Xenopus tropicalis: one gene and its partners. The protein of the gene in region 1 interacts with the protein of each later gene in a pairwise test. Links are inferred from orthologs where the notes say so. Each region holds a gene or a part of one and is shown in the gene's direction. Other genes may lie near its edges.

Evidence for each region.
Region 2: the proteins of nedd9 (region 1) and rbpms interact in binary tests that used the Homo sapiens proteins (3 or more experiments, as listed by UniProt). The two-hybrid records come from large-scale screens. The link is inferred for Xenopus tropicalis from reciprocal best matches to the Homo sapiens genes NEDD9 and RBPMS.
Region 3: the proteins of nedd9 (region 1) and nab2 interact in binary tests that used the Homo sapiens proteins (3 or more experiments, as listed by UniProt). The two-hybrid records come from large-scale screens. The link is inferred for Xenopus tropicalis from reciprocal best matches to the Homo sapiens genes NEDD9 and NAB2.
Region 4: the proteins of nedd9 (region 1) and banp interact in binary tests that used the Homo sapiens proteins (3 or more experiments, as listed by UniProt). The two-hybrid records come from large-scale screens. The link is inferred for Xenopus tropicalis from reciprocal best matches to the Homo sapiens genes NEDD9 and BANP.
Region 5: the proteins of nedd9 (region 1) and rfx6 interact in binary tests that used the Homo sapiens proteins (3 or more experiments, as listed by UniProt). The two-hybrid records come from large-scale screens. The link is inferred for Xenopus tropicalis from reciprocal best matches to the Homo sapiens genes NEDD9 and RFX6.
Region 6: the proteins of nedd9 (region 1) and nfkbia interact in binary tests that used the Homo sapiens proteins (3 or more experiments, as listed by UniProt). The two-hybrid records come from large-scale screens. The link is inferred for Xenopus tropicalis from reciprocal best matches to the Homo sapiens genes NEDD9 and NFKBIA.

Annotation. Positions count from the first base shown.
Region 1 is NC_030682.2:90,788,457-90,792,493, reverse strand, and holds the start of nedd9 (enhancer of filamentation 1), read left to right. Parts: upstream 1-1,237; 5' UTR 1,238-1,445; coding exon 1,446-1,457; intron 1,458-4,037. UniProt on the Homo sapiens protein: Scaffolding protein which plays a central coordinating role for tyrosine-kinase-based signaling related to cell adhesion. As a focal adhesion protein, plays a role in embryonic fibroblast migration.
Region 2 is NC_030677.2:83,887,483-83,890,982, reverse strand, and holds part of rbpms (RNA-binding protein with multiple splicing), read left to right. Parts: intron 1-2,395; coding exon 2,396-2,546; intron 2,547-3,500.
Region 3 is NC_030678.2:139,246,424-139,249,923, forward strand, and holds part of nab2 (NGFI-A-binding protein 2), read left to right. Parts: intron 1-167; coding exon 168-282; intron 283-3,500. UniProt on the Homo sapiens protein: Acts as a transcriptional repressor for zinc finger transcription factors EGR1 and EGR2. Isoform 2 lacks repression ability.
Region 4 is NC_030680.2:65,855,095-65,858,594, forward strand, and holds part of banp (protein BANP), read left to right. Parts: intron 1-1,266; coding exon 1,267-1,389; intron 1,390-3,100; coding exon 3,101-3,279; intron 3,280-3,500. UniProt on the Homo sapiens protein: Controls V(D)J recombination during T-cell development by repressing T-cell receptor (TCR) beta enhancer function. Binds to scaffold/matrix attachment region beta (S/MARbeta), an ATC-rich DNA sequence located upstream of the TCR beta enhancer.
Region 5 is NC_030681.2:74,672,155-74,676,426, reverse strand, and holds the start of rfx6 (DNA-binding protein RFX6), read left to right. Parts: upstream 1-1,472; 5' UTR 1,473-1,762; coding exon 1,763-2,018; intron 2,019-2,639; coding exon 2,640-2,796; intron 2,797-4,272. UniProt on the Homo sapiens protein: Transcription factor required to direct islet cell differentiation during endocrine pancreas development. Specifically required for the differentiation of 4 of the 5 islet cell types and for the production of insulin.
Region 6 is NC_030684.2:109,511,895-109,515,930, reverse strand, and holds the start of nfkbia (NF-kappa-B inhibitor alpha), read left to right. Parts: upstream 1-1,236; 5' UTR 1,237-1,356; coding exon 1,357-1,592; intron 1,593-2,762; coding exon 2,763-2,871; intron 2,872-3,223; coding exon 3,224-3,431; intron 3,432-3,534; coding exon 3,535-3,623; intron 3,624-3,736; coding exon 3,737-3,997; intron 3,998-4,036. UniProt on the Homo sapiens protein: Inhibits the activity of dimeric NF-kappa-B/REL complexes by trapping REL (RELA/p65 and NFKB1/p50) dimers in the cytoplasm by masking their nuclear localization signals.

The DNA of each region.
Region 1 (4,037 bases):
AGAAATACCACATCCCACACACTAAATACAATTTTACTACAAGCTTTAAAAATAATCAAACACAGGGTGGGAAAACCACAAAATAGTGTCATAGGATAACAGTTGCAACAGGTCACCTAGACACCATCACAGCATGGGCAATGAAAATCATTTCCACTGAAAAAAACTGGGAGAAAATAAATGGGATACAAGGCATCATCTGCCTATTTATTATCTTGTGTCATTGTTTGTATGAAAAGTTCTAAGCATAAGAACCAGACTGGCAATCAGTAGATTCTGGCAAATGCCAGAGGGGCTGCTGTTAGATGCCTCTAGGTTAAGGTGGCCGATTCTACACGGCCAATTCTAGCTGCCGATATCGGCCCCTTAGACCAATTTGGCAGCTTATCGGCCCGTGTAGGGGCACTAACGACGGGCCTGCCCAACTGATATCTGGCCTGAAATCTGGCAGGTTAAAAAATTTAGTCGGATCAGGGACCGCATCAGCTCATTAATGCGGTCCCCGAACTGACTTTGCCTATACCCGTCGTTATAATTCGATCGTTTGGCCCAATTAGCCTGGATTCTCCTGATATCGCCCTCCCGTAGGTGGGGGATATCGGTAGAAGATCCGGACGCTTGGCGACATCGCCAAGCGAGCGGATCTGAAAGTGTATGACCACCTTTAGTCTCTATTTTATTACATGAATGGCTTGATGCCTGTAGCACTGGATGCCTCTGGCACTGGAGCTGCGGCACACAATGAGGGGTTAATGCCATAAAGCCTTTTTAAAAAATCCGACTGCACACCCTCATTCCCCAAAATATTGCTGTGGGGCAACAATAGTTCCTTCAATCTAAATTCCAAAAGGATTGGTTCCTAGGATATATATGAGGTTTCGAAGTGAGCATAAACAATATATCTAGTCAGAACGGGCAGGAAGACACACCCCTTTGCCACAAACCTTTGCCCCCAACCAAAGTATTTCTATTGAGATACTGTATTCCTAGGCTTCAAAGTAAAATGTCAAGTTCCGACTGCTGCCAGGTCAAAGCAATGCAGCAATGTGAGTCAGTTTCTTTTTTTACATGGCATTTCTTGCAAATCAAGCTCAATCCTGATATAGACATGAGCACACACACAATACACTCTCAGCCTGCTGGGCTCAGAGTACACTAAAGGGGCGGGAACAGCAGTATGTGACACGTTCTCATTTCAGCCTTCCTGGCTAATGGGAGGCCATATGCAAATAGCTGTCCCAGCTTGTGCTCAGCAAACCCAAACAGCTCTCAGATAGGTCTGTATGGTCCCACAGTGAAGTCTGCTTGCTGCTGCTGCTTCTGCTTGAAATCCACTTATAGCTGCCACGCACTCTAACACCTTGGTCTGGAGTTAGCGCTGGGCTTTAAACTCTCCAATGTGGATTCTGTAACTATCAAGTGGACCCAGAGGAGATCCAGCAAGAATGAAGTACAAGGTGAGTTCATAGCTAAACTGTATGTAGCTGATTTAGCCTTTTTCTTTGCTGTCTGCCTGCTGCAACGTGTACATGTAAATTCTGCATGTACTGCCACAATGTATATAGTTGGGTATAATGCTGTGAGCAGGCTCCATTACACAGGATATTCATGTTAATGAGCATGTACATTCCCTAGACTTACTCTAGACTTAAGGCTTTGTGAAATTTAAGGAAAAATGTGTCTTTCTCCCAGACAAGACCTTATTTTGCATGGTAAATTTACTGTGCAGGGAGGGCGTTTAACTGCTGGTGGAGACTGCCAGACTGCTTTATATTCTCTTCCAACAGGACACACTAATCCAGAGCAGACAGTAGTGTCTCATTTGAGAGGCTCCAAGCCCTGGTTATTGCTCTTCATTAATGATACAGCTCTGGATGCCTCCCAGCAGTGTTTTGGGGAATGAGGGATTGCAGTCTGACTTTTTAATGAGGCATTATGGCAAAGGTTAACCCCTCATTGTGTGCCACAACTCCAGCCCCAGAGATGGTCGCTGCAGGCATCAAGCCTTCATGTGAATGCTAACAAGACCAAAGGCTTTCTCTATTCAGAACTTTTCATACAGAAAATGGCACAGGATAATAAATAGGCAGATACTCTAATGCATTGTATCCCATTTATTTTCTCCCAGTTTTTTTCAGTAGAAATGATTTTCTCCCAGTTTTTTTCAGTAGAAATGATTTTCCCCACACTGTGATGGTGTCTGGGTGACCTGTTGCTACTGTAATCCTACGACAATGTCTTGTGTTTTTTCCCTGTGTGTTCCTTTGATTAGAAGTGATTATTTTTAGCTTCTAGTAAAATTGTATTTAGTGCGTGGGATGTAGTACTTCTTTTATTTATGCTCAATGATTCCTTGTTTTAAAACACAGTGGTTCTGAATGTTGAAATTGTAGCAGCCAGCTGTTGCTGGGTCACAGCTCATACCATCTTTAGAGTGACTCTAAGCATTATGGGAGTTGCAGTTCAGCTGCAGTTCAGCAATACCTTGGGAAACATGTATTGCTCATTTCTGACCTTTCTTTGTACAGCACACATTCTTGTTTCTTTGCATACCCTATTCTTAATGTCTAAAATGCCTTAGCACTGTCGTCCTTGAGACCCATAAGCTGTATGTGGTCCTAAATGTGACTTTATTATAGCCCCTAATCTGCTACAAGGTTCCATCAGTCTCTTTGTATGACATAATAATTATATTATATATTATAGCCCCTTTTTGTATGACATCATAATTATATAATATATTATAGTTCCTAAACAGCCTTTATAAAAACAGCCTCTTACAGAGCGAGAGCTGCATTAGGATATAACAGCAATTATCTGTCACTCCCTAAACCTCATCCACTGCTGTATTTAGAGCAGGGCAGAGAGGGTAACCTAAGAATAGACCCCTTGAACAGAAAACATTATAAGTGAAAAATACAAATGACATACACTGTGTAACTCCTGATTTATAGTTATAATTTTAAGAATTGCCAACCTCTGGCCCTCCAGTTGTTGCTAAAGGTCCCCATACACGGGCCGACTATAGCTGCCGATATCGGTCCCTTGGACCGATTCGGCAGCTAATTGGCCCGTGTATGGGGAGAGCAGAGCGGCCTGGCCGACCGAGATCTGGCCTGAAATTGGCCAGATCTCGATCGGCCAGGTTAGAAAATCCGGTCGGATTGGGGACCGCATCGGCTCGTTTATGCGGTCCCCGATCCGACTGCCCCATTGCCGCCCACATAATCCGATCGTTTGGCCCCAGGGCCAAACGATTGGATTATTTTTTTTTTAACCTAAATGCTCCCCGATATCGCCCACCCGTAGGTGGGGATATCGGGGGAAGATCCGCTCGCTTGGCGACATCGCCAAGCGAGCGGATCTGCTGGTGTATGGCCACCTTAACTCCAGAAATAAAGTGTACATTTGTGGATAATCTGTATGTACCACAGTCCACAAGAAAGAATCACTCCACTCTCAGGGGAAACAAACATTTTTAATTATTAATGCATGTACTGCCATTGCCTAGAGACTTGTGAACTTTGCTAGGTCAGAATTCACATGTAGCAACAGGCTGCATAAAGAGGAATCTAGCATTTTAATGTAGAATGCATAAATCTCCCTGAGCCTGACAGTGTTTCTAGTGGGTGTTGTTAGCTCTCCTCTGGCACAGTAAGCCAGCTGAATTAAACCAGTATTCTAATGTGCTTATATTAGACCTGAAGGATTTGTTTACAATACCTAATCGTAATTGGTACATAAGGTTTTTTTGGCAACTTACTTGGGGTTGCAGTGTTATAGGTCCCATAGCAAAATAATTGCATGACCCCCACCCCAAACCTTAAAGGAAACTCACCAATTTTACATTCAAATATTCAAATAAAAAAATTGTTAGAAATGGCAGGGCTACACTGTGCCCCCCTGCACTCTTGGGTCCCTATAGGTGCTGCTCTGATTAACTTGCCTTTCCATAATAAGAATGCAGCCCCTTTGTGCAATCTTAATGACTGCCTGTCAGCAGCAAATCAAGCAGTAATAGGACATGCTGTTTCTCT
Region 2 (3,500 bases), on another chromosome or scaffold:
AAGCACCAATTATATATATATATTACAGGGGATCAGAAAAATGTGTAAAATCTGTGAAATTGCAAAATCAGGGAAATGCAGTGTGTATTGTTATTGATGGAACCAATAATAATTCATACTGAAAAAAAACTGTAAAATGTGGGAAAACTTTATATATGGGGATGTGGTTTTACTGTATTCATGTGCTTAATCATCTTCACTTTCATCATAACCATACATCCTTATTTAGGGATTGAGGAGTCAGCTAGTTCCTGTAAGTTCAAAGTAACAGACAAAGCTTTGGACTCTGCTAGTGGCTACTGCTACTGTAGATCCTTAGAGGAGTAGGATGTTACTAGGTTCCCAGAGAACTGGGCACAGACCTTGCTTTTCAAGATGGAACAGGTAATCCCCTCTAAACTACTTAGTTATACCTAGTGCCTATGAATGTTTATGCATAAAAGTACAGTCACTGCAAAACCAAAAAAAAAGTGGTTGTGTTTTTTATGGATAATTACAGAGGAATACATTTATTAAGATCCTCTGAATAAAAATGGGGCTTATATCCTTTCCTAAGAGCATATGCTCTAACTCTTTGTCTAAGTGACTATTATGTATATCGTGCTTGATTTGGCATAGTTGTATAAGCATTACATTACATTTTAAATACTACAGTTTGATCAGTATTGGTAAACCTGTAATAAACAAACCTTTAATAATTTTTAGTTACAGAGTTGACTATTGGTTCTTCTATACTATCTTCACAAATCTGTGGTCGCCTTATTAGGGTATACAAGACTGGTGGGCAGGAGTGTGCCAAAACAAAGCATAGAGGGTCAACTTGGCTAATTCCTCTGGCAAATTCATACCTGTCTGTTGTAGTGTGTATATACTGTATAGTGGATAATGTACCCCCTATTGTAATTTATTAAAATATTAGAAGTCACTGAGGAGTTACAAGACCATATAAAAACATGAGGCCTCAGGCAGAGTGCTTTTATCCGGGTCACACCAACCTTTTTTATTCTCCACCTATGTTTTACAGATATATGTAAATACATTTATAAATGCTAGATAGAAACAGTGTGAGGGCCAAGGTCAAAAAGTTGTGTTAACTATGTACAAATAATCAGGAAAAAATTTAAAATTGCCCTTAATGTATAGATAGATGGCCGTTCATGCTCTGTTATTGTCTACTGAGCAGCTTGTTGTCCCATGCCTGGTGCCAGAATTATGGTCATTATTATCCACGGCCGATTGGGACTTTTTTTGTCAGTTGATAATGCTGAAACCCACCTTGGGTGAGGACCACCCTAGACAGCGCTGCATGGGCCTCTTATGATCTGACTATAGGGTCATCTAGATTTGTCTCACAGCTTTGGTGGTGAAATCCTGCACTGACCTGAATGATTGCACTGATGTTTATTATAATGACTGCATGGTAGTTGCAATTTAATCTGTGAAAGTTACAGAACATCAGTATAAAATTACTTTTTCTAAAGTAGCTCTAGGCAGCTTTAACTTTCAGGCTTTACCAATTTTTTTGCATGTTTTTAATATAAGAATAAAATGGCATTTACTTGTTGTCTCTTTAAAGTTATTTATGTATTTCTCCTGCAATAATTGGCTAAACAGTACATTTCCAGCTATGTTTTCCTAATTTCTCTGTATCCCCTTATAAGGTATTATTTAGTAAATGTGCCTCAAGGTCCATTAAGAACAGTTTCTTATTGTTGCTGTAATTAAATTGTTCCCACAAGTCTAAGACTTGTTTGAGCTATTCTTTAATATGTAAGCCTCTAAACAGATTTCCAAGAAAGGGTAAGAGTTTTATTATTTATTGTTTTGTTTAATTAGTGCAGCCAAGATGCAGTGTATAAATCTGTAGACGAGACATGCAGGGATCCTTGAATTGAAAAATCTATACATTTATGCCTAGAAGTATCACATGAAACACAGAGTATAACCTAAACTGACAAAGGGTAAAGTCCCAGAATGTGTTCAATGTCAAGAAAATGTTCATTTACTACTTCTGTAAGTGTAACACATATAAACACACATTACAATAAGTTGAAATCAGAATTTCATTTATTTTAGAACAGTGTTTTACTTCAGCCCAAACTTAAGTCATTTCTTTTCTACCTCTGCCATTTTCAATTCTCTTTCCATCCCTCTCCTCATCTACTGTACCTCTTCCCACTCAACTGCAAGTTGCATCCATTTAACAGCATTTCACTAACCAATTTACACCTGATTGCAGCTGGCAATAATAAATCAATGTAAATACTAATTATAAACAGGGTATGCTCTTCTATAAAGTGTTTTCATTTGCAATGATGTCTTGTTTATCATGCTCTGATCAATGTACAACATTCTGTTTGGAGTAAAAAATGTTTTACTATTTGTTGTTTTTTAGGGAATCAGATTTGATCCAGAAATTCCTCAGACGCTACGCCTTGAGTTTGCAAAGGCAAACACAAAGATGGCCAAGAGCAAGCTTGTAGGCACCCCAAATCCCAGCACACCTCAGCTGAACAGCGTACCTCAGTTTATCTCTAGGGACCAGTGTAAGTGTTTATACTCTGAAATACTTTGTAATTGATCACTTGCAGCCATTAATATCACTGTAGTATCATGTACAGTTCCATGAAGGCAAGTTCCATATCACATGTAAAGGATGAAATATTGATGAAGATTGAAAAGAGAAAGATTAATGTGAGGGTTAATGAAAGGGAATGCTATGCAGGAATTATGAACAAAAATAAGAAAGACAAAGGAACAGTATGCAGAATGGATTGAATCTCACATTTAAAATAGATTCACGGTTGAAGGAAATGTCTCCATTTTAAATCAACATTTCTACTAGTAAAACTATTTAAAAGGCTATAGGAACATATAAATATTGTGGGTCTGGTCCATTGCTCTTGTATAAAGGCCTATATTCCATTCTGGTTACACAGTGTGTTAACGGAAGTCTATTCATTGTTGTACCTTTCACCTTCTTGCTCTAGTAACATCTGATGAAGAGATTAATAATAGGTTTTTCTACAGTCACCCAAACTGTACAAATGATATGCCGAGTACTAATAGTAATTAGCTTTCCTGAATGGTTGTACTTTTGCTTCTATTTACCCACAGTCAATGCTGTTAGGTTCTTCCTGGATTCTAATCTTGCTAGTAGCATGTAAAAAAAGTCGCTGAATATTAATCTATGATACCCTGACTGTTTCTTTAAATTGAGAAAGATTTTTAACATGAACTATGATAATGCCCTGATCTGTGATGTACATAGAATATACAATTCTAACATGACTGGGGTTTCCATTAAAACATATATCTGAAAATGTGATCCATTTAAAGAAGGATGTGCCACAAATATTTTACAAATATTTTACTTGAATTTTCACATAAGAAACCCTAAATAATGTCAAAATAAAGTAAAAATAAATGTTCTTTTTTAACCATGTGACCAGTAAATTCTATGTTAAAATTAGTTTACATAATTGACTAAACCTGTGGCA
Region 3 (3,500 bases), on another chromosome or scaffold:
TACATAATCATTCATTGAACTCTTTCTTTTCTACAATATTTTTACAATTGCTTTTGTCACAAAGATCAATATATTTTTAATGTATTTCAATAGGAGAAGAGAGAAAGTTCTTATTATCCATTTATATTATATGAGGCACTAATTCTTATCTTTTTATATATGTCCAGGCTGTGGAGATGCCTTTGCAGCTAGACACAAAGAGTGGCTCTGTATCAATGCGCCACAGTGTGGAAGAAGGCAGTGGCAGTATGTCAGGGGAGAGCATGGACGGCAGTTTGCAAGGTAACCGTGTTCTCTGTGACACCTATAATCCAATATTGTCTCTGCAACAATAAATTATACCTGGATCCAAACACCCCAAAATAACATTAAAGTCACTGCTGTACATGCCTCTGTGCTGATCTATCAATTACCAAAGCTTACAATGTGCTGAAGCACATTATACAATAGGTAGATTCTGTACTATTCGTCTAAATAAGCATCTGCATTCATTTTAAAAATGACTAATGAAGTAGAAACTCTTACTTAACTCGTACTTATGTCCAAACACTTCCGTATAGGTGTGCTGAGTGCCATTGCATCCATTCCACCTCTTTTGCTAAACCTTGCAAAGTTTATCTATTGATACAAGTGTAAGCTTATAGTAAATTAGCCCTTCTATTACCACAAGCTACACCGTATTTTACCCAGGATGAGACTGTATCCTTCAGGGGTGAGCCCTCACTTTATATGGAGGCCAGGCATATATGTTGTTGTATTTCTCAATAAATGGGCGCCAGTGGTTCTTAACCTTGAAACCATGAACTGTTTATTTACACAGCCACTTATAGTGTAATTACAGCATAGAATAGGTAGGTAGTAGCATCTCACAGCATAGGCAGTACTTACACAGCATAGTCAGAATAACCCTTTAGCTGCAGGGTACAATGGGTTAACTCCCAGCTTTCAGGTATATGCTTCCAGTGGAACCTGGGTGATCACTATCTAACCCTAGGTCTGTACACTGTTAACCCTACTCTGGGCAGTATTATACCCGGGATTATAATCCCTTTACAATTCCTGGTCGGAGCCAAAATGCTGCTCACTAAATAGCCCTGCCTGTCTATCACACCTAGGGGCTGATTTACTAAGACACGATTTCGAATCCGAATTGGAAAAATTCCGATTGGAAACGAACATTTTGCGATTTTTTCGGCGTCTTTACGATTTTTGCGTAAAAACGCGAGTTTTTCGGCATCTTTACGATTTTTGCGTAAAAACGCGAGTTTTTCGTAGCCATTACGAAAGTTGCGCAAAGTCGCGATTTTTTCGTAGCGTTAAAACTTGCGCGAAACGTTGCGCCATTTAAGTTTTAACGCTACGAAAAAGGCGCGACTTTGCGCAACTTTCGTAATGGCTACGAAAAACTCGCGTTTTTACGCAAAAATCGTAAAGACGCCGAAAAACTCGCGTTTTTACGCAAAAATCGTAAAGACGCCGAAAAAAATCGCAAAATTACCGATCATTCCGAAAAAAACGCAATCGGACGCATTCGGCCCGTTCGTGGGTTAGTAAATGTGCCCCCTAGTGTGATCTATAACAGGAGCTGGCTATTCTTTCTGAACCTACCTATTCCTAGATTTCCACAGTATCTCTCTGCCTGCTTGCTCAGGCAGAGAGCTTCACAAAATGGCTTCCAGCCTCATGGCTGCTGAGCCTTTTATATCACAGTGCCACCTAATGGCCAAACTGTGGAACTGCACAAGGGGTCATGCTATGACCAAGGAACAAGGGACTTACTTCCCATTACATTAACAACCCTTCGTAGCTGTCCAATACTAGGGGACCACGGAGTTAGAAAAGGTACAATTTACCAGTTCCCTACACAAGGGAACCCTGGACCCTGTGCGCCCCGCCCCATCCTGTCCCCATACCCCCAAACTGCCACCCCCCCCCCCGCTCATACACAAGGCAGCAGGGTTGTGGGGAGTACTGTAATGGGGGGGGGGGGAATGGGCCCAGAACTAGTGGTAAGTGAAAGAAGAGGTACTTGCCTGGCGCCCCCCCACCGTGGTGCCCTAGGCAGGTGCCTCTTCTGCCAACCCCTTGTTCCGGCCCTGCCTGGAGCTACTGCCACCCTGAACATACCAGTTATTCCAGGGTTCCCAAAGCAGGTTGTGTTTATAGGAACAGCAGACATATGCACTAATACTGTTTTAGCTCCAAAAGTAATGCAACCCTAACTGAAAATGTGGCAGATGCACTTGGAATTCAGGGATCAAAACACTGCTTTATGACCACAAAACATGGTGAATTCTATCAGAAAGTTGCACGTTGCACACTGCAGCCAATTCCATTTTCACTTAAAAATGCAAATGGAATGGTTCATGTGTAAATATTTTTAATTTCTGAAACTTTTATTTTTTTTAAGAAATGTCACTTTTTTCACGGTTTTGAGTTTTCCTGTAATTCACTAAAGCATTTTCTGATTTATTTTCAACTGAAAGGTGTTTTTCTAGTATATAGGAATATATGAAAACTGTAACAGTTACACAATTCCTTTATAAGGAGATAGAGTTAGTTAAAAAATATAATAGTGTGCATGCATTTTAATGTATTTCCTATTTATTGGTTGTATGTTGAATAAATGAAACACCTTTACCCCAGTTAGACAACACTAACATGTACAGATGAGTCCACAGTTTAGTTACACAGTATGAGCTCTGGTAGTTGTTTATTGTGTCTGTTCCTAGAAAGAATGTGGTATAGCCAGTTAATATCCAGGACTTTAGTACTTGGTGTGACAGCTGTATGCATGTTCTGAATGGGAGCCGTCATGCTGATGGTGATATAATTACTATGCTGGCACCCCCTCATCTGGCCTGCAGACATGTTTGTAATGTATTTCGTAAACTGTTGAAATGGAAACAGACATATTATTATTAAGACATTATAATTATTATTATTATTATTATTAAGGCTCATCTACAATTGTGAGTTTATTTGTAAAGCACTGAAATTGCCCAGTCATTCACAAAGGCTTCATTTACTCTTGCACCATTACATGCCCCTGAAAACTTGTGTCAGCCCCAATGCCATGCCCAACCTGCTCCGAGGAACTACATGATAGTTCCCAGACAGACAAAAGGGGAAGCCTGCAATTACTGCCAGCCAGGTAGTCCCCTCAGTGAGTAGGTCAGGGCCACAACTGAATTGTACTATAATACAGATATTACTGAGTGGAGCCATTCCAACACCAATTCTGTAAATTAGTGATGAGTGAAATCTTTCACCAGGCATGGATTTTGCCACTGGCAGATTTTTTCATGAAATGGGCTCCAAAATTTGCCACGTGTAAAAAACATTGCGAGACAATTTTTTTGACGCGGGTCATTTTCGCTGTTTCGAGAATTTTTTGCTGTCTTGCAAATGTTTTCTAAGATTCGCACATTTTACAGTGAAGTGAAGAAAGACGAATTTGCTCATTGCTACTGTAGACCCTTGTTTTATAAGAACGCCAG
Region 4 (3,500 bases), on another chromosome or scaffold:
CTAGGCTTTGCATCTTACAGCTTCTTATTAGGGAACCATAACAATAGAAAGGCTGTGGATGAGATGGTAAGATTATAGCCCTCCAGCCACAGACAGAGAGCCAACTCAGTCAAAGCCATAACCATGAGCTTAGTTTAGGTAGGGTTAAATAATAAAGCATTAATTGTTTTATATTTTTTATTAGAAAATGCAAGTTAAAAATGATAGCATCTGTCTAACCCTGTAAGTGGCAGCTTATGTCTCTTTCAAAAATGGTGAAAATGTTGAATCTAGTACTTGTAATATAGTGCTAACTTTTTGATCTGTCCTTTTCTTTTGTTTACATGCCAATTAGTGGTGTAAATCACCTGATCCCGCTGTGACATGCAGAGAATTGATGATAACTCATTATCCTGCCTTTATGAAGCACCATTTGGCACAGGCTAGGAATATTAGTAGTTTTATAGGACTTTGAAAATGTGTAATGTGTAAATTAAACTGCACTGAAACTAAGAAAAAAAATGCAGTCAAAGTTTTGGTTTCAAGACTTCTGCGATGAAGCTGATGAAACAAGGTTTCCCATTCGCAAACTTGGTCATCAGACCTGGACACACAGGAAGGATATTCACAGGCTGGAAAAAAAAACTTAGCATTTACTGAAAAAGCTGATTACTCAACTAGGCTTCTCTTACCATAAGAAAAAGTAAGAATATTTAAATTTGCACTTGAAAAACTAAATTCTTACTAAGTATTTTTGGCAAAATATTGAAACCAAAACCATTTGCTGGCTGTATGGGTTTTGTTGAAAGTGTCTCTTTTTGAGTAATAAAATAACTACTGAAATCTTCTAAAACTAACCTTTTACTCTTGTGTTAGTCCAGATTAAAGGAGAAATAGATTGTTTGTGTAACTTGTTGGCTTCTAATTTGTGACCATTTGTGTATGTACCTAGGCTCTATCACTCTTATAACCAGCATTCTTTTGTACATACTCACAGACTATTCTGTGTCAAGCTGAATGATGACTGTAAATGGTTGACATCCTAGTTGAATGCATATAAAACAGAGCAGAATGGCTTTTTTTGTTTTTTTTTAAATATGAAAAATCTTCACCATTTAATTATATAAAAGCATGCAACATTTGATGAATATTTGCAGTAGCATTTTTGTCCCTTTTCGTCTATGTAAATATGGATTTCTAGTAAAATGTTTACTTCATTACCAATAGCTTAAAGTATTTGGACCCTGTGACATTAAAACCACTTAAAATGTCTGTTTCTTTTTTTAGTGTTGTACCGCAGACTACAGTAATACTGAACAGTGAAAGACAAACCCCAGGTGTGACTAAACTGGAGGGTCGCGAAGAGTCTATAAACAGTTCAACAGAAACCCTTGAAAACATGCTGAATAGGTAATAGTTTATTATTTATCTTCTAGCCTCCCCCGACACCAAAAGATGAATCTAACCATAGTTAGTTTTTTTTTTTTTAACATGCATCTTTATTATAAGTGTAAATAACCTATTTCTTCACAAATGACTATGATAATTGAGGTCAACTATATCTACTTTGGTAAGAGGAGTGGGAAATTGTTTCTGTCCCATCTGTTTCTTGTCTGGCAATGTCCTCTTACAAAGCACCTCTTGCTATAATTGTAGTTTTGTTCTTTTGCTCCTTTTACAGGTACTCATCTGCTTAGGTAAGCAATATGGCTGCTTAATATGTAAATAAGGTTTTCAGAGCAGGAATGTTATGCCCCCTTTTTCTAAAAACTCATTATTAAAGCCTTTTTACTGCATTTTTTAAAGAAAATTAATGAAGATAATTAAATCCTGTGTATTAAACTGTGGATTCCTTCTAAATATGGAATTTGCTCTGTATTGAAGAGTGTTACTGTGAACAATCAACTAAATGTAAAATAGTTATTAAAACTTAAAGTTACTTAAACTTAGTTTATTAGTAAAAATAACTAATAGTTTTAGACTGTTAAGGTGGCCATACACGGGCCAATTCTAGCTGCCTATATTCGTCCCTTAGACCGTTTCGGCAGTTTATCGGCTCGTGTATGGCCATTAACGACGGGCCTGCCCGACCAACATCTGGCCGGAAATCGGCCAAATCTTGATCGCCCAGTGAGCGGATCTTAGCGTGTATGGCCACCTTTAGGGTCTGTGACCACCACTTAAAAACTGTCAGAAGAGGAAGGTTAATTATTAAAAAGGCTATAAAAAATAGACAATGAAAACCAGTTGCAAAGTTGCTAGGATTAGGTCATTTTGTAACTAAAAATTAACTTAAAGTTGAACCACCCCTTTAATAGACAAAACAGTTTTACCAATCAATCGTGCCTAAATTAAACTGGCGGATTAGTGGTGCACCCTGCTGGGATCAAGTCTGGCTTGCCAGGGCCCACTGGGTTTTTTCCTAGTGCTCCGGCGGCCCAGTCCAACACATTACTTGTGACTCTTTATCTCCTTCATCTTCATTGTAGCCAATGATTCTTGAGAGAGATTGATTAGGGGCAATTCAAAGGTATTATTTAGCCCTGCAGGATATAAATCTTGTTTTAGTTTTCTCTATCTCTTTTTATTAAATCTTCCCTTTAAATTGGATTCACTTAAAATACTCTTGATTTGTGACTATCTATGAAACAATGTTGCATGCAGAAAAATGCATTTTTGGGGAAGTACTGATTTCTCTACATTCATGCAGCACCAATGTATCGGTGTTCACAAGGCAGAGTGTGATGTAAAGGATGAGCAATCGTTGCTAATTATTATGTTGCCACTGTATGAAATGATATTAATTCAAAATGTAACCTGATGGCTTTTCTCCCAACCACTTCTAACAATATTTAATGTTTTTAATCTTTTTTTTTAGTAATACAAAACATTTTATGTCACCCTGTACATATTACAGCTTTTAATACAGCTTTTAAGCTTTTTTGTTTACAGTATTATTACAAAGGTGATGATGGGTGTAGTTATTCTGCATGTTGCTATGACAACAAATATGAACTTTTCTTAGTTTTGCTATCAAGTTTTTATAGTACAATATTTGTTGCTTATTGTGTTGCTATAGTATGGGAGTTTTTTAAAAAAAAAATATTACTCTACATTTCAGTGCAGTTCCTGGAAGAAGACACAACACAATTGTAGTGAAAGTTCCTGCCCCTGAGGACAGCCACAATGATGATGACAATGACAGTGGTTCTGAGGCTAGTGATACACTGTCTAATTGCGGTAATTCAGGAAACCCAAATATGGGCAACAATGTCACCCTGATCACCTTAAATTCTGAAGGTATGTCATTATGTTTAGCTTTCAATTATTGGGGTTTTTCACCTTCGGACAAGTTTCCAAATTAGAACTGCCTAAATCACTAAAAACATTTTCCAAATTAGTTTTTTTTTTTTTTTTTTTTTAATTCCACTGCCAACAATAAAAATTTGTTTTCCCCTTAAAGGAGAAGGAAAGGTAAAAACTAAGTAAGCTTTATTAGAAAGGTCTATGTAAATACAGCC
Region 5 (4,272 bases), on another chromosome or scaffold:
GGATTGTTTTGTGAAAAGCATGAAAAAATTTGCCGCGTAAAAATTCGCCACACATCCAAAAACTCGCCACAAAGCCATGCCTGGTGAAACATTTCATCAATTGTAGCCGCATATAAATAGTCGTGCGAATAAACACACGCCATGTTAGCCATACACGCCAATACTTTCGTAAAATTACTGGATTAAAAATGACCATTTCCCTGCAAACTGGAGGCTGCATCACTCTAGGGCCAACACAGACTTGAATAAATGCCACTGCAAAGTCCATATTGTGTTGCCAAAAGCTCACGAACCACAATTTCCTTTAAGTATCGCCTGCCCCAAGTAGGTCTTATTTTTCGCATAGCCTAATGTGATATTTAGCGCGCCTAAGTGTTTGTGAATCATGCGTTAGCATTATTTTCAGCGCGCTAATTAATGCATGCGTTAAAACTAACGCATGCGGTTGCACGAAAATTAACGCATGCGATATGCGACTTAACGCACGCGGTAATACTGTAGTGAATCACGCGCTTATTGTCACGTCTATTTTAACGCAAAAAAACGTATCGCACTACCATAAAAGACTCTTTTTTTCTTTTTCTTAGACTTTAGGTTGGGGTCAATAGTTTGCTAGTTACTATGACTCACACTGACAAAGCACAGAATTAAGAGAAAAAATTGAAATAGACACACACACATATATGTATATATAGATGCAAACAGTCAGTAAGCTGCACACCATTAATATTGGATGCTACCTGGGTGCTAGTGCAGATAAGAGAGAAATGACGGCACTCACAGGGATTTTCACACAGGAACTGGTCCTCAAGGCTGGTGTACCAGTCGAAACTTCAGTCTTTGTTATTTGCTTCAATTAATAATTTTTGTTCACTATAAGCCCTGTGTGGAGCGGCCCGTTTTTTCTACAAGTATCTATACATTAAACCAAGGACTCCACCCAGGCAATGGATTCTTCATTTTTCGTGAGTGCCTACCTGATGGAACTTTATATATATATATATATATATATATATATATATATATATATATATATATGGTTTATAATGTAGCGTAAGACTAACCCATATATCTCCCAGTGTCACCTGATTCTGAACTGGATTTCCATTTAGAACATGTGTTATATGCTTTAGCTGCGTTCTCCTCTTGTTTGCCCAAGCAGACAATTGTAAGATAAATACTCCGCATGATCATTTTCATTATTGATTCTGTCAAAAAGTAAAGGTTTAATCATTGCTTCACGCGTGCAGCTTTAGATATGGAAGCACATAATAAACAAACATCACTTTGACTCCCACAATCAGATCCAATTGTTGGGACTGTTAATCATTAATGGGTTTGATGTAGACACCACCATTTTTTTACCCCTGCAAGAGCGCAGATAACCCAATTCATTACTGTTACGTCACTTCCACATTAAATAACACTACCTCTTAGTCACTTTTTTGCTTTGTCAAAATAAAAGCAGATGAATGAGGAAGAACCATCAAGCTGATGATAAACTGCCCTTAATTTGACAGCAGATCTGTGCCAACAAATGGGTGTGATTATGGGCTTGCCTTAAAATAACTCAAATGATGTCAGACCACTTTTCACCTGGACTGGGGGAAAAGTGTCCTTGAATTCTGTGAAGTTCCTTTCAGCACAATTATATATTGTAATATTACATTGAAATATTACATTTTTCATCTTACCTAAACATCACATTTTGGTTCTCCTGGGACATGGTTTTTTTTAACAGAAACTTTTTCAGCCTTTTTTGATGGTTGCATGGGCATTGCCTGAACCTGGTGACATGCCAATTGAAAGATTTTCAGAGACACAAGAAGGTGACTGCCCCTTCCAAAATGGAGAACCCTTACCAAAAACAGCCTCAGGGATGGAGGATTGTTATGGAACTATGGTAGGGAAGGATTTACTTTCATATCCACAAGAAGATCTCTGTGAACAAGCACAGGAAGACATTATGCTAACACCAGAAGAGGAAGACTCATCTGTGAGTCTGGGCATAAAAACAGGTAGGAACAAATTTAAATTGTCTATTACATTAACATTGACATCCCTGATATCCCAAGCAGAATATACAGTAAATGATAAGCTTTTTATCATAAAAAATATTATTTTTTCTCGTGGATGCATACTATTACCTGTTTCTCTCTCCATTACCTGTTTCTCTCCTGTTTTCTCTCTCCCAGCCCCATGCTGGGAGTACAATAGGCAAAGCTGTGGTAGTAACATATATATATAGTGAATAATGCCCCCCTATTGTAAAACATATCATGCATGGGATGTCTGATGTCCTGATATTTTACAAGAGGGTGCACATTGCTTTATCATACTTTAGCAGGGGCAGAGTAAAGAAGGGGATTATTCCACAAGCCTGTGCTACACATTACATGTGCCTTTCCCAGTTTTTTGAGTATGTTGTCATGTCAGTGTGGATCAGATAGGGAGTTTTCAGCACCGGATCAGCTGTAAATGAAGTGATATGCTGATATCACTGTATGTGTATTAACAAAACATAGTCAACAATAAAAGCACTTCACCATAAGTGCAAAATTGGGATTTTTATTAATTATTCTGTCCTTTTACCTTTTCCCCCCTTTTTAATATGTTGATCTCTAACTGCTGGCCGCAAGAAATGGACCTCTCCAATGAGATGTTTTCATCAGAAGATGAGGATTTAGATATTATTTATAATAAAAATGCTTTGCTAACCAATAAAATATCACAGAGGAAATCCATCACTCAGATCATTAAGGATAAAAAGAAGCAGACTCAACTGACATTGCAATGGTAAGTATATGGTTCTGCAAAAGTTCCAAAAAACTTGTAAAACAGTGAGCTTGCATTACTTTAATTTCCTAAACCATGGCATTAATTACAGAATTCCATGCAAGGGTCATGCTGTATTTCTGTTCTTGTTATCCTTTCCATTCTGTTGAATGCATCTATCTAATGCATGCATTGTACACCATAACAAGAACATGGCTCCTTGAGAGATGAGTAGATTGGCAAATTATTTAATTTATTACTCATTGCTTAAAGGTCAGGAATTTTTAAAAAGCTTCAGAATCTGGGCAACCAGAAGTATGCCATTCAGGGACACATTAAACATTTGTGTTTAAAGGGTATGTTCCCTCTAGAAATGTACTTAAAGTATGTTACAGACAGCAGTAATATTTGAATTAAGTAGAAAACAAATTGCATAAAAAATAAAAACTACCAGTTTGCGACTGACAGGCTAATTGACTGAAGAGATCAAATAGCAGGTTGGCTAGTAAGACTGCCAAAACTGATAAATTATTACAGGATTTTTTGGATAAGGGGCCATTCTGTAATTTGGATCTCTATACCTTATATCTGCTAAAAGCATGTAAACATTAAAGAAACCCAATAAGATAGTTTTGCCATCAATATGGATTCATGTAGCTTACTTACCGTCAAGTACAAGGTTCTGTTTTATTATTACAGGGAAAAAAAAAATCATTTTTAAACATGAGAATGATTTGCTTATAATGGAGTCGTATAATGGGAGCACGTAATTTAGAGCTTTCTGAAAAACAAGTTTCGGAGCTTTTCAAGTTGCTGGTGTTGGATAAACTTCCTTCAGAACAGATTGTCTTCTGGGGTCTGATTTTTGGAGTGTTATTACAATGTGATTTTTACCTTTTGGGCAATGGCACCCAATGAGATTAGTTGCCCCCGGTTAAATCTTGGCTACTGCAGGTGATTAATCTACCCAAAATGCCTTCCTACCATCAAAAAAGCGATTTAATGGTTAAAAGGCATACGTTTTCTGCAGTAGCCAAGATTTAACCGTGGTCAACTAGTCTCACCATGTGTCACTTCCCTTTGTGATGTGGTTATGTGACTTTCTCTGCACCTTATCTTAAAAATTGGTATTTCAGCCATAGTTCCAAGAAAATTCAAAACAGCAAGCATTGTTCAATCTAAAGGGTAGATTTATGAACACAAATACAGTGTGCAAAGTGCAACTTTGGACCCAAAATTGCCATCTCTTTTACCCATAATGCTTAAAGTTGTGCCCAATGGGTCAAAACAGATGCAACTGGGCTTGCTTTTGATGCAAATGGGGTGAAAGTTGCATCTAACATTTTTAAAGTTACATTACTTCTGGAGTGCACTTTCAAAACAGCATTTGCATCTGATTCATTGGGTACAAGTGTGGTGTATCTATTGACTCAAACTGCTGTGAGAAGCTGGAAATTCTGTTGCCAGGGTTCTCCAGTGTTAATAGGAGCAGTTGTA
Region 6 (4,036 bases), on another chromosome or scaffold:
CCTCCTCCTCCCCTGCCGCCGCGCTAATGCGCATGCGCCAAAGTTAAAACTCCCATACAGAGCAGTGGGGAGAGGTCCCCATTGCTCCGTATGGGAGCAAAATTTTGAAATTTGCGTGCGGCGGGGCAGCATGCCGCCCCTATGTTTATGCCGCCCTAGGCCCGGGCCTGGGCACATCACTAGTGCAGAGCGCACAATAGTATAGTCAAAGTATTCCATGATGTTTTTGGTTTACTACTTTTATTCCCACACAAGAATTACGGACAGATAACCTTCGGCAAATGGCAATTAAGTTATTTCACCTAAGCAAGGTACCTGAAACTATTATCGTTATAAAAATAATAACTATTAAATTCATACAATCTCATTTCATCCCAACAATAATGCACAAAGGGGCTTATGTTTTTTTTAAAGCAAATGCAAACTGCAATTAGGATTGCCACCTGGAGGTTATTATACTGGCCTGACCAGTTAAAATACTGCAATATCCCAATGTTAACTGGGTAGAGAGATGAAAATTTAGGAAGACCTGTATTTCTTTCCAGTGGGAAAGCCTTACTACAATGCACAAAAGAGTGCAAAATTCCATGTTTCACCCACAATGCAACGTTATTCCCCAGAATCCCAGTGTAATCTTGCTGCTTATGACGCAATTTTTGCAGCCTTTTGGGGAACATTGCGCGAAAGTTGCATTGTTTGTAAACCCCTCGTTTCTGGAAGTTGCTGAAATAAAACAAAATGGCATTAGCATCAATCATTAGGTGCAAGTCGGTTGTGTGTGTGGGTTAAGGTGCAAAATGCAAATGGCTCCCCGGACGTTGAGCTCTTATGTATTTAGCATAATATCAATAGTCTGTCAGACGAAGGTATATTTAACGCATATAAATGCCGAGTATGATGTGGGGAACTAATGTGTATTTTTGCCCGAATCCCCCCAGTGTGTCCCAGGAATGGTGAGTGTGCTGAGAGGAATGTACATGGAGTAGCTGCGCACGTCTGAAAAAAGGGAATTTCTGAGCCTTGTACATATTTCTGCGCTCTTCCTTTTATTGTACCACAGAACTGGCTCCGTCAGGTTCATTGTGTTCCTATACTGACTTATTCTTGGAATTTCCCAGAGTACATAATAGTTCACAAGTAGGAAACTGAGCTCGGCTCCACCCAGAAAAAACCCCGGCTGTATATGTAAAAGTAGCCTGCTGGGGGAGGGAGCTGCCAGATCGCTACCAGAAGTCGCTCTGATCGGATGGGATTAGTATAGAGGAGGCTACAGCTACAGAACTTCACTATCGCAACTGGGATTCTACAGTGTCTTCTAAGCTATTTTGCGGGGAAGCTCAACAACCGGCCGCCGCCATGTCTGTGCCTTTTCACGATTACCAAGGGAATATGATGGAGGGAGAAGCTAGGGATCTCCGGAAGGACAAACTGCTGCAGGACGATCGCATTGATAGCGGCCTGGACTCCCTGAAGGAGGAGGAATACACGGCTATCATTACTGACCTCAGCAACATGAGAATGGAGGGCCCGCCGGACACATCGAACTATGAGCCGGAGCCATGGAAGAAAGAGGTCAACGAAGATGGAGACACGTAAGTGATAGAGAATGGGTTCGTTATATGGCTGGGGATTGTGCTCAGTATCTACTGATATTGTATAGGGGCGATGAACCTTAGTATTAGTACATCTAAAACCATTACATCTGCCTTGCACAGTGTATATACTGATAAAGGGATAGTACTCTATAGTGCTGCACTAATATATATATATATATAACAGGGACACCTAGGTTTGGGGCAGTGTTTAGTGTAGGATATGTAGATATTTACTAATGCATGACTTCTTTATGGTGAATGCACAGTTAGGTGCATGGGGCAGGCTACACTGCATAACACTGCAATTTATTGTGCAGCTTTTTCATGCAACCATAAACATGCAGTATTAGTAAGTTGTGCAAATAGTTAAAAACCCTTGTGCTTTTAATGCTTTTTTTATATCATGCATTGGTATTTGCAAGCATGCAGCAACGCCGGGCAGCTGTTAGATGGCTTGGTGCATGTTTGTTCTTGGTAGGGGAATTTTTTTGTTGGTGCAGAAGAGACGCCATATCTGTCTGGGTTTTCCCTTCTTCGTGTGAGCTGGAGGGAGGGGGGGTGGGAGGACACCTTGTTCTCTGACTTGCTGCCTCAGAGGGGTGGGGGCTGGCAGGCACCCAGGGGCAGGACTCTGGCTTTGGAAAGTCCCTGGCCAGTAGCCAGGAACACAACTGCACACACACACACTCTCACACTCACAGCAGAAAGCGGAAAACAACAGACAGATCTAGAGAAGAAAAAATCCCCAGACTTACACAATTGCATAGTTGGCTGGGGGAGGGGGAAGTACACACTTGTGTCACCACTGACTAGTATTGCAGCTCACCGACATGCCGCTATGATGAAATAGGTTCATTATGAATTATTATTTCCTATTGCTTGGCAGTTTCTAAATTTATGAAGTTTTATTCACCTCGATCTTTCCCACACACTGAACCTTAACACCACTTCACTTACTGGTTCCCAAAGGGGAGGGGGGGGTACATTTTCTACTTCTGAATGATGAAATAGTAAATACAGAAATGACATTTTGTAATAAGATGCTAAGATTGGAAAGCTAGTTTGTCATTTCCCATAAACCTGCTAGTTCATCTTTTCTTTTTTTATGGTTAAATGACACAAATTTGCTTCTCTATTTTAACATGTCCTTTTTATGTTCCCTTCTAGGTTTCTCCATTTGGCAATTATCCATGAAGAGAAAACCCTGGTGAAGGAGGCAATCCAACGTTCATACAGGGACCATTTTTACCTGAACAAGCAGAATAATCTGCACCAGGTAATTTACTTTTTATTTTTTTTCTAAACCTTGTAAAAACTTTATTTCTAGATTAGCTTGTCATGTGCCACCATTGTCGGTTAGGGCAGGGCTGTCCAACTGGAGGCCCGTGGGCCGGATGTGGCCCTCCAAAGGAATTTTAACATATAAAGTATAATAGAGGGCCAGTTTGTGGAATAATTGACCTATGACATGTAAGTTGGCCAGCACTTAAAATATTAATAGTCAGTGCACTCATAGCATGTTCATGAGGGATAGAATATAGTACAAGCTTATTCTGCAAGTTCAATTTTGTGTTTAATGAGAATGAATTTACTGATTTTTCTTTTTTTTTTTAATGTCTTTTCTGCAGACAGCACTACATCTGGCAGTAATCACCGAACAACAAGACATCAGCCAGTCACTTCTCCAGGCTGGTTGTGATCCAGAAATCCAAGACTTCTGTGGCAACACCGCCTTGCACATTGCCTGCAAGCAGGGCTCGCTTCGGGGAGTTGGGGTCATTTTCCAGTATTGTGAGAAACAACTGCCAGCACTTCTGCAATCTGTGAACTATGATGGTATGTATCAAACTTAATCTATAAACCTTTAGACGTGTGTTGTTGTGCTACTTGGCAAATTAGAATTAGAACTGCCTTGCTAATATCTTTCTTTCCGATGCAGGTCACACGTGCCTCCACCTGGCATCGATCCATGGCTATCTTGCAATTGTGGAAAATCTCATTAATAAGGGGGCTGATATAAATGCCCAGGTCAGTATTCCCCCTACTTCACTTGGCTACATACTGATGTTTCTTCCTGCCATGTCTATTGGATTCAATTTTGCCTCTAGATCTAAGAGAAATTTCTGTTTCCCTCACCACAGGAGCCTTGCAATGGTCGCACTGTGCTGCATATGGCCGTGGACCTGCAGAACTACGACCTGATGAAACTGCTGCTTAAGCACGGAGCAGATGTAAACAGAGTCACGTACCAAGGCTACTCTCCGTGCCAGCTCACATGGGGCAGAAATAACATGCTGATTCAACAACAGCTGGTTGAAGTGACACACAAGAATTTGCAGTACCTTCCAGAGAGTGAAGAGGAAGACAGTTCTGACTCCGAATATGAATATAATGATGATGAGGTGAGACCTAGAGACGAGTTCATCATAGTAATGGCATGG